3 linked regions of the Coturnix japonica genome follow. The protein of the gene in region 2 interacts with the protein of the main gene of each other region in a pairwise test. Links are inferred from orthologs where the notes say so. Each region holds a gene or a part of one and is shown on either strand. Other genes may lie near its edges. The genes, in order: SDCBP, HPRT1 and ISCU.

Region 1 (4,199 bases), on a different chromosome or scaffold from region 2:
ACCTTGAAGATCATCAAATCCAACCGCAGCCTAACCAGTACCCGAACTCTAACAACCCTTCACTAAATCATATCCCTGAGCACCACATCCAAACAGCTCTTAAACACAACCAGGGATGGTGATTCAACCACCTCCCTGGGGAGCCTATTCCAGTACCTAACTACCCTTTCTGTAAAGAAGTTCTTCCTAATATCCAACCTAAACATAAATCCTTGAGCTGCTGCTTCTTTACACGCAGACGCTGGGTTGATTTAAACAAACTAAAGATGATTAATTGCTGCAGTAACATAATAGATGTCTCTTCACATAACATTAATGACATCAACTGCTTTTCTACTTGCTCAGCAGAGCGCCCAGCAGCTCCAGTATCATGTCACACTACAATTAACATTTCCAAAGGGAGCCCAAAGCGGGACAAAGATCTAAACTACCCCAACAGAAGTGGCCACGCGTTTAGCATTATTTGCAACTGATAGTTTTTGTCAGGTCATTGCAAACAAACGAAATAGAATTGAGACCCAGAAACATTAAAAATTAAACAGATGCATTTAACGACAGTGTAAAACTTCATTTTAATGCAGCATTGACCTGAATGCCATCAATGCAAATGCTTTTGCTCCATCAAAAAGAACAGCATATGCAAGCCAAAGCCTAGCACAACGCACGCTCAGGTAAGCAGTCCCCAGCCACCTCGTTCTGCTGCTAAAAGCATAGAATGGCTTAGACTGGAAGAGATATTAAAGATCATACAGTTCCATTCCCCTGCAGTGGGCAGGAGCAGACAAGGACATCCATCCCACCTGACCTTGAGTGCCTCCAGGGATGGGGAAATCACAGCTTCTTTGGGCAGCCGTACCTCACTGCCCTCAGAGAGACAAATTTCTTCCCTATCATCTAACTTAAATCTCCCCTTGTTTATTTTAGAGTTCTATCTGCAGTAAAGCTACACAGAGCATCGTATTCACAGCAGCACAGACTGCACTCAGAGCCCATTGTAGCATCTGATGGGTCTCTGGTTCTGGCCATCATTCCATATCATCCCACTTCCAGCTGGGCCATCTCCCTACAGTCCACTCTCACCCTGCATAGCGATCACCAGTAACACCCATCACAGGCTATCACCTCAAAATTGCTCCTCATACTTTCATATTGGCTCTCCAGGCACCAAAGAAACCCCTCCAGAAGCTGACCCTGCTACTTCACCACCACTCAAGGCCACCTCCCTTCCCAACTGGAAACTTGCAAACCCTCGGGTGTGTCACAGCTCCCAATGAGTTGCCCTGCCAGCTTCCTTCTCCAAATCTCACTGGATGCTATTTTTGGTTTTCCAATAAATAACTGGAATAACGGTCACTGCTAACTGCATTCTTATCTCCTTACATACCAGCTTTGTTGCTCTTACAAAAAAAGGAGCGTTTTCTATTTCCACACAGGCTTTTCTAACAGTTAAATACGCACCCAACGTCTCATTAGGCAACATGAGATGCCCTGAAGTACTGTATTTAGTTCAAAACACAAACATTTAACAGCTACCATCATCGTCAGGGACCGCCGGGAACCTCAGGAAGAACCCATAAGTGACTCATAGCAATAATAAGCCTGAACACAAAGTCTGGGCAGCCACTGGAACGGCTTCAGACAGGAGCTGGGGAGCGGTTACCACACAGCGGGAGCTGCTCACCTCCCGTCCTCCCTCAGGAGCCTACATTGGCAGCAGAACCATTATCCGGTTGTTTACAGGTTCCTACAGCACATTAAGAACATATATATTAAGCTGAGGCTTTCATGAAAAGCACAAAAGCAAAAAAGGAAAGAAGAAATCCCTGTTTCCAAGTATCCTCAGGCCAGAAGGTCCTTCAGCAGGATGCCTGGCCAAGCAGATCCTATTGACCAAGGGCAGCGCCCAGCCAACAGGCAGCACTCGTGACACTCAGGCTGTGTGCAGGGAGTCCTGTAGGTAAGAGCAATCTGCTGACATGCAGGTTTGCATGAAGAACAACGGGCAGCCCAACACACTCCTTGGGTTGGAATCCACAGAGCTGAACGCACCCTGAGATCTAGCTAATGTCTGATCTGTGGCTATCACTGTCTCTGAAAGAGGCAGCTGGCAGTACCAGGAGCTGGAGTGGGGTGAGTAAAGGTAACTGGTGCCTGTGGCCACAAAACAAGCACTTGAATAGCAGCTTTGGCTTTCGGAACTGCTCGAAAGTTGTGAGGTTAAGTTTCTTCTCCAAACTTAGGAGTCACTTCCCGAAGGTCGGGTTGAGACAGCAGGAAAAGGCAGCAGCTGTTTTGCAAGCTGTGACCTCCACTAATCACACGGCGTTTTCCTGCTGATACCACCTAATTGGCCTCCGAGCGTTGCCCTCCTTACAGAGCAAAACTCGGGAAGGTGCTGCCTCCATTTCAGAGCTGAGGAAGGGCTCACCTTCCCACAAAGGCAAAACACATCCGTTCCACCTCCGGATCCCAACAGAAAGCGATACGAACGCCCAACCCCCAGGCTGAGGGGCAGGGGGGCTGACTGGGAATCAAGCCATACGCCGGGGACCCGCAGTCTGAACGGGAAGGAGCAGCACCCCAAAACCTCGAACACAAAGCAGAGAACAGCTACCAACGCACACAGCGTTCATTTCCTCACAGTGTGAGGAGGGGGCTCCTATCGGCAGACATACAATCCGGAGCCCCACGAAATGGCTGCTCGGGGCGCAGAGGCAGCTCCCCGCCCCCTCCTCACACAGCGCCGAGGAAGTCACGCCGCCCCAGACCCACAAAAGGCAGCGGGAGGCCGCCAAAAGGGAAAGAGTTCCCCCGTACCTCCGGTCCTGCCGTCGAAGAAGGGGTCAGCGCACAGAAGAACCGCAGAACCCGCACAACTCTGAGCCGCGCCGCTATGAGGGGACCGGGGGCGGTGGTGGAGCTGGCCCGGCTCTGCGCATGCTCTGAGGGCGGGGCTGAGGGACACACAGGGTGTAGCCGTGGCAGAGAAGTTCTGTGCGAGTTAGAAAGGCTTCTGTACTTAATTGCCGTAATCCACACGTATTCTCTGTGTTTATAGCATTGATCTGTTTACCACAATGTTCCATCTTGAAAAATCCTTCTTCGCTATGGTCCCCGACTTGTTCATCAGACAGGCAACTAGATGTGCTGAGCTCCCTGAATCTTATCTCCAGTTGAGAAACCTGGGTGTTCAATGAAGGTATTTCACCTTTATTGAACCTTCCAGCCCCACAGGAGGAGACCAGCCCCTGCCTTCACAGAATCACAGAATGACCCGGGTTGGAAGGGACCTCAAGGATCATGTAGTTCCAACCCCCCTGCCTGGCAGGGCCACCAAACATACACTTTTACTAGATCAGGTTGCCCAGGGCCCCGTCCAACCTGGTCTTGAACACCTCCAAGGACGGGGCATCCACAACCTCCCTGGGCAGCCTGTTCCAGGGCCTAACCACTCTCCTAGTGAAGAACTTCCCCCTAACATCCAACCTAAATCTTTCCTCTTTCAACTTAAAACCATTTCCCCTAGTCCTGCTATTATCAGCCCTTTCAAAGAGTTTACTCCCCTCCTGGGAGTAAGTTCCCTTCAGGTATTGAAAGGCTGCAATGAGGTCACCCTGCAACCTTCTCTTCTCCAGGCTGAACAAACCCAGCTCCCTCAGCCTGTCCTCATAGGGGAGGTGCTCCAGCCCCCTGATCATCTTCGTGACCCTCCTCTGGACCCTTTCCAAAATCTCCATGTCTTTTTTGTACTGAGGGCTCCACACCTGGACACAGTACTCCAGATGGGGCCTCACAAGAGCCGAGTAGAGAGGGACAATCACCTCCCTATTCCTGCTGATCACCCCTCTCCTGATGGAGCCCAGGATCCCATTTGCTTTCCGAGCTGCCAGAGCGCACTGCTGGCTCATGTTAAGTCTCTCTGCCTCATGTTAAGTCTCTCATGTTAAGTCTCTGCCTTCAGCTCCTTCCTTCTGCCCTGCAGCTGCCGGCTTCTCCTCAGCCAGTCATGGCAGTGCTCAGGCCCTCCTGTGGGACACCTCAACTAGGCTCCAGCACAACTCAAATACTGCTTTTGTAGTGATGAATTTTCTATGTAGCCAAAAGTGAATTTTCACAGAAGTGCAGTGAAAAATTTACAATACTTACACCTCAGAAGGGGGTGTAGTGTTTTGTCCTGCAATGAGCCCCTTGCAGTGAAG
Region 2 (2,560 bases):
TGCCATGGTTAGCATTACAACACAAACAAGACAGGAATAAAACCAAACAATTACTTACAAATTGGCTGGGCTTTTCTCTCCCCGCAGTTATGTGTTTAATGAAGGAATATTTGTCGCTCTTCACTCTTGCCAAAACAGAAGGGACAGCACTCTGAGTGTTCTCTCTGAAATCCAGTTTGGTTATAGCATATGCCAGTCTTCCTAAAGCTTTCCTCAGGCCTTCATTATCTCCCATAGACAACACTGTATTGACAGAAAGCTCTACAGAGGTAACAGACGTGGAGCCTGCCTTCACTGCCAGAAGCACTGATGAAATATGTGCTGAGAAGAGAACCTTGAGAGCACTTCAATATACACAGTGAGTGGCATAGATGTGTGGGGCGTATTTTAAAGAGACAGCCTTTATTTTAAAGTACTTTGCTTTGTAGTTCTTATAAAGTAAACATTACAATACTTCTTTTTTTCCCCCCACAAATATATTAAAACTGTTTAAATTTCAAAGGCAATTCCACTGTCCGATGGATATTTTTAAAGGAAAAAATAATAATAATAATCTGAAAGAAACAGGCAGCTCAACTAAAGCTAAACTTCAAACATTCCATTTTGTCATTCCATCTCGAATAAAGGAAAAAATAAAAAGACATCATTTTTCACCCAGACTCCTTTTTTTTTTTACAGCAATAAGGCAACTCCAGGAGGTGGCAGTGGGCTCCCTGGAGATTACAGATACTGTAACTGGCTGCTTCTCATGTTTCATACCACCCAAAGGTGCAACTATCCTTTAATCACAATCACATTTGTGAATTAAAATATAAAACTTAAATTACAGTTTCTTTAAAAATATTACTAATAGACTTCCCTATCATAAAATGTTTTACATTTACAGTACTCGAACTATTTCAGTTCTGGGTTGATGAGGTTTAAGCAATTTACCACTGCAAGAGTTAAGACTCCGGAGCTCACAAACAGCACAACCCAACCAGGGGCAGCAATAGTCGGTAGAGTCATAGTGCAAATCAAAATAAGGAGTGCAGAATTGCACCAGTTGTTTACATTTCTATAATATAAATGAACAAGACGAGATTCTTATATTGTACATGCAATAAGTTACAATAAGCATATGACGATGGGGCTGGGGTGTTCTACAATTTCAGCTGGTGTACCAGAGTTGAAGCCTGTGAGAGATAGGATTCGGTAAACAAAACATTTCAAAGCTTTGTAGGCATAGCACTTCAGCTGTGCTTTCATGCTTTGTATTTCTGCTTCCCCGTCTCACTGATCACACAGATATGCTGAAACAAAACATTGAAAGCTCGGTTAGAAACGTAAGGTAAGAAACTCATGTTCAGGCACAGAGTCAATACTGCGCTTCTGAAAGAAAGAAAAGCACGCTGCACAAGTGTCAGCCCTGAGGAGTGTCCTGATTCTGTTTGTGCAGAAAAACTTCAGCCTTTTTTGGGCTACAAACCTCAGCGTTGCCTTCCTTCTCTTTCCTCTCCCACTCAGTGTCCATTATAAGGACATATGAGACCCAGGTGAAGACTTTGTGTCTTAGCATAAAAAGGCTTTTGAGGTCTCTCTCCTTTAATTTTTATGTAACTAAGCAAATTTAATGTAGATATCTGGTATGATAAGAAACTTCACATGAACTGCCGCACTATTTCAAAGGCCAACAGGAGGTACATCACCTCCGTTCCACGTGAAGCAAAACAACCATTAGATCTATCAGAGCTCCATAACACTGCTGCACTGCTCTAAGGTTTGCCCTCATCACTGATGGATTGACCTTGCACACAAGCTGCGATTTACACAGAGGAGGGAGAGTAACGTAAGGAGACTTCCCTTCCTTCCTCCTCCCTGGTTTTAAATGGACAAAACACACGGGAAAAATTACTTACGTTCAAATCTCTGAAGTATTCATTGTAATCGAGGGCGTATCCCACAACAAATTTGTCTGGCACTTCAAATCCAACAACTAAAAAAGAACATAAGTCACCAGTACATTAGAAAGGAACTTCCTTGAGTTCACCAGACCTGTTTACACAGACTAGTAGTTTTATCAACGCATAAGCTGCTTAACATTTTATTTCTTCCACTCGAGTATCCTCAGCTTAATACTCACGTTATTTTGAACTTCTGACATTCTTTGTTCATTAAATTCAACTAAATCAAAATTACATAGGTTTATATATTGATTTCTAATGCATAACAGGCACAGCTCTAGCAAGATAGCCCTTGGATGGTTGGGCAGCATCAGTCCAACTGCAGAGGCTTGTAAGACAACCTAAGGAACAAGGTGTTGAGATGCTTCCATCAGTACTGTACAGCCTTGGAAAGAAGAAGGAAGAGGATGTGATTCTGCGGCTGAATTCACTCCACTTCCATTGTGAAAGTGCACAGTCCACGTTATCCCCATTCCAAAGGCTAAGTTCTTGTTAAAACACGTCCCACACTGTGGAGCCCAATAAAGTTGCTGGAGATGTCCAAATGGCACTGGGTGGTACATTTCGGCACCTGAAACACTCCCCAAAGTGCCTAAGATGAATCCAGCAGGTTTTGC
Region 3 (4,073 bases), on a different chromosome or scaffold from region 2:
GGGGGAGGTATCTGCCAGGCTGTGTTTTTGAGGTTTCTTTCCACAAATGAAGAGAATCCAGCCCTAAAACTACCAAAGGCAACAACAGAAGCTATCAGAAATAGCATCCAAAATCAGCTCCAGCAGCAGGTAAGGATCCCCTTCTGCCCCTGGCTTAGTACCAAGAGCACTGGCTGCTCTCTCTGCCCTGGAAGGGATGGGGGAAGTTCAGAAGACACCCCCAGAGGGCACAGGCTGACTCCTGCTCTTCCAGGGAGGTTCCCCTCAGTATTACATCCCAGTTAAGCTATTTGCATTCTGGGTTTGAATCCTCAGCGTGTGTTTAATCTCCCTTAACAGTATTTGGCAAACTAAAGGGTTGAATGCTTTTAAAAGATGCTCCAACATTAACCCTCCTGCTATTGGAGGATGTGAACACAAACATGTCCTGCTAACGCTGCTGGCTCTGAGCTTCCTGGCAACCAACTGCAGCTGCTGTTATTTGCTCACCTCCCACAGTCAGTGCCCTCTAGTGCCTGGTGAAGCATCCCAGCTCCTCCCAGAGAGCAGCGTGACGCAGGGGATAGACAGCATGTGAGAGGTCACAGATTGTGAAACCAAACTCCAACACAGCTGCAGCCAAACCACATGAGATTTATATATACTGTATTGATTGACAAAGTGACCCACATAAAGACCAAGGCAACCAAGTTTCCCACCAAACTCTTTGTAAAACATTAGGCAAAACTATACAGAAGAAAAAAAGTGCAGCCCTTCCAATGCTGGAACAGGAGGATTCTTTCTCTCTTGAGAAGCTACCGGGGGGTTGCCCTGAAGCAGAGCAGCCCTTCACTCTCACCATTTCAAAACCAATCCTGACAGGACACAGGCTGCTGAAATACCCACGTTCCAGTCATTTAAGCACTACCAGGGTGGCTGTACACACATGACCAGTGACACGTTGTGCGTTGAGTTGTGCGTATCTTACAGCTTCTTGAGTAGTGCACAGGATTCTATTAACAGCTAGAATAATTGCACTGCAAATTGAACTGGAATGAGGACAACCTCTACAGTCTGTTTAGGAATTAGTCTGCTTTCTGCTCTGACTCTCCTTTCTTTGGATCCTGTTTCAGTTTGTAGTCAGCCAAGGCAGCCTTGATTGCATCCTCAGCCAGCACTAGGGGAGAAAAAGAGCACAAAACAATGTCATTTACAAGCACTTTAAATAACAGTGACAAGTCACTTAGAACAAAAGATGCAGTACAAGCAGAAGCAGCCAGCAATAACCACCACTGTGGGTCAGCCTTAGCTGCTATGTGTGCAAAGCTTTATTTGGAGAACGTACAAAAGCATCTGTGTTCTCAAATAACAACGTGTTTGATGCTTTACTTACTAGAGCAATGCAGTTTGACCGGAGGAAGGCAAAGTTCTTTTGCAATGTCTGTGTTCTTGATTTTCAATGCTTCATCAATCTGAAATGTATGGGTAGGGTACAGTCATCAGTCAGGCATACACATGTACATATGATGCCCACACACCACGCAGGTATTTGATACAGGTGTGCTTCAAAGCACTGGAACCAACCAAAGTCACGCTCTGAGAAGGCAGTAAAAGCTGCTGATAGTGTTCTACCATAAGAAAGGCCTTTCAATAATACCTGTTTTATTCTGCTCCTGCCAAGCAACAAATCTGCAACCTACTACAGGGAACCTCCTTTGGCAGAGGAGCTGGACTAGGTGATACTCAGAGGTCCATTTCAACCCCTGATTCTATGAAATATAAGGAATGTCTCAAAGTGTGCAGTGCTTGTTAATAAACCAGAGCATTATTTTACTGCTGACCAACTGCAGGGACTGTTCCAGGTTTGTTCTGCTGTAATATAGAAACAACCTGCTTGTCACAATGCCAAGCACACGGAGATCAGCCAATGGAAGACATTCCACTATACAAGTGCTTTCTTTATCTATTTTCGATTGCTGTGTAGCACCCAAAGCTTCTTCACAGCTTATTGGAGACTTCCAGAAAAGGCAAATATTGCTTTAAAAGTCAGGAAAGATGAAACTGCATTCTGAGCTTCTATGTGAGTGTAACACCTGGAGAGCACCTCTCTAGACCCCTGTTTCCTTCCCTGATCCCAGCAGTGGGTGTGAATATGTACCTGCTCCCCACTGTGCCCCTTAAGCCAAGCCCTTACCGTCTTCCCTTTCACCCACTCTGTTGCCAAGGAGCTGGAAGCGATGGCAGAACCACAACCGAAGGTTTTGAAGCGAGCATCAACAATGCGGCCGTTCTCATCCACTTCCACCTGTGGGAGTTATCAGAGGGGCGCTCAGTTCCACGTAGGAACCACACACAAAGGGACAGCGATAGGACAGCGAGTTTAAGGCTGGGGGTTTATCGGATTTTAGGGCCTGCAGAGGGACTTTAAGGGACAATGAGTTTAAGGCTGGGGGTCTATTGGATTTTAGGATCTGCAGAGGGGCGTAAAGGGACAGCGAGTTTAAGGCTGGGGGTCTATTGGATTTTAGGGCCTGCAGAGGGGCTTAAAGGGGGTGTGACGGAGGAATCCTATGTCACAGCCATATGGTGGCAGACACTGATGGTTGTGTCCTTACAGGGCACCCCGTGCTCCCCTCACCTGCAGCTTCATAACGTCTCCACAGGCCGGGGCTCCCACCAGGCCCGTACCCACGTTCTTTGCGTTGCGATCGAGAGAGCCCACGTTCCGCGGGTTCTCGTAGTGATCCACCACCTGCGAGAACAACGTGTCACTAACAACCCCCAACGGGCACTATGGGCTCCCCACAGCCCTACCCGGCCCCTCTCACCTTCTTGTGGTAGCCCGCCCCCCCCACCGCCGTCGCCCCCCGCCCGGGCCGCAGCAGCGCCGCCCCCGCCGCCCTCAGCGCCGCCATCTTGAGTCTGCCCGCACCTGGCAGCGGCGCTCTGCCCCAACCCTCCCGAAGGACCCCTGGAGGCCGAGGCCCTGAGGTGTCCGTGGCGCTGCCTCTGCAGCAGACTAAATTATAAGGAGTAACGGGCCGAGCTGCTCGGCTTTTCGTGGCAGTTGGACGCGGAGAAGAGCAGAACCTTGTCGGGAGAGTTTATCGTCCTTTCTTTCACCGCTTTTGGCTGGGGGGAATGTACAATATTGAGACAGGCGCGCAGTAGCCAACCCCATCGGCTGGCTGAGAGCGGCCGGCAGCGAGGCGAGCTGCAACAAGATGGCGGCGGCGGGAGCCGAGGCGGCGGTGGAGGAGGAGAAGCGTGTGGTGGAGGGAGACCCCGAGTCGGGGGGGGATTCGGAGGATGAAGGCGACTCGGATTCATCAGGAGACGGCGAGGATGAGGAGAAGGAGAACGAGGCGGAGATCCAGCGGCTGGAGGAGCAGGTGGGGCCCGGCTGTACCGTGCTTTGGTTATGGAGATCTGGAAACGCCTCCGGGCGTGATGCCTTTTAATTCGCTTTTTATTCCTCGCTTCAGGGCGAGAGAGACTCAGGGAGCAGCCCTGGTATGTTGAAAGTGAACTCAGATGGTGGTTTCCTTAGTGATCTTGAAGGAATTAAAACGCGTTTGCTGAGGAGGGCTCACTGGGTGTTAGCGCTGTGTCTGTACTTGGGGGCTCTCGGGCCTTAGGGCTGTGAGTTCAGTCTTCTGCAGAACTTTAAAGCCCAGCTTTAGTAACAGGGATCTTCTATGAAGGGCTGCAGAGGTGGTCGGGGCCTGCAGCTTCTATTTGAGGAGCCCTGAGGCTGCCCTTGAGGCAGGAGGGAAGGCTGAGGGAGCAGCACTTGTCAGGGTAGAAATCGTGAAGATGGGGCCAGGTTCTTTTCAGCCATGCCCAGCTACACGATAAGGGGCAGTGGGCACAAACTGGAACCCAGGAAGTTCTATCTGAACGTGAGAAATAACTTCTTCGCTGTGAAGTTGACAGAGCCCTGACACAAGCTGCCCAGGGAGGTGGTGGAGTTTCTTTCTTTAGAGATGCTCAGGATCCACTGGGATGCTTTCTAATGCTACCTGCTGGGGGGAGGGTTGGACTGAGGGATCCTCAGAGGACTTTGCCTTTTCCTGTCACTTACAGTTCTGTGA

The links.
Region 1: the proteins of HPRT1 (region 2) and SDCBP interact in binary tests that used the Homo sapiens proteins (3 or more experiments, as listed by UniProt). The two-hybrid records come from large-scale screens. The link is inferred for Coturnix japonica from reciprocal best matches to the Homo sapiens genes HPRT1 and SDCBP.
Region 3: the proteins of HPRT1 (region 2) and ISCU interact in binary tests that used the Homo sapiens proteins (3 or more experiments, as listed by UniProt). The two-hybrid records come from large-scale screens. The link is inferred for Coturnix japonica from reciprocal best matches to the Homo sapiens genes HPRT1 and ISCU.

What each region holds. Positions count from the first base shown.
Region 1 is NC_029517.1:101,325,154-101,329,352, reverse strand, and holds the start of SDCBP (syntenin-1), read right to left. Parts: upstream 2,949-4,199; 5' UTR 2,818-2,948; intron 1-2,817. UniProt on the Homo sapiens protein: Multifunctional adapter protein involved in diverse array of functions including trafficking of transmembrane proteins, neuro and immunomodulation, exosome biogenesis, and tumorigenesis.
Region 2 is NC_029519.1:3,926,145-3,928,704, reverse strand, and holds the end of HPRT1 (hypoxanthine-guanine phosphoribosyltransferase), read right to left. Parts: intron 1,976-2,560; coding exon 1,899-1,975; intron 1,293-1,898; coding exon 1,245-1,292; 3' UTR 584-1,244; downstream 1-583. UniProt on the Homo sapiens protein: Converts guanine to guanosine monophosphate, and hypoxanthine to inosine monophosphate. Transfers the 5-phosphoribosyl group from 5-phosphoribosylpyrophosphate onto the purine.
Region 3 is NC_029530.1:5,668,642-5,672,714, reverse strand, and holds ISCU (iron-sulfur cluster assembly enzyme ISCU, mitochondrial), read right to left. Parts: upstream 2,907-4,073; 5' UTR 2,895-2,906; coding exon 2,808-2,894; intron 2,732-2,807; coding exon 2,618-2,731; intron 2,285-2,617; coding exon 2,174-2,284; intron 1,452-2,173; coding exon 1,373-1,451; intron 1,157-1,372; coding exon 1,065-1,156; 3' UTR 614-1,064; downstream 1-613. Other genes in the region: SART3 (squamous cell carcinoma antigen recognized by T-cells 3), read left to right, coding at 3,204-3,371.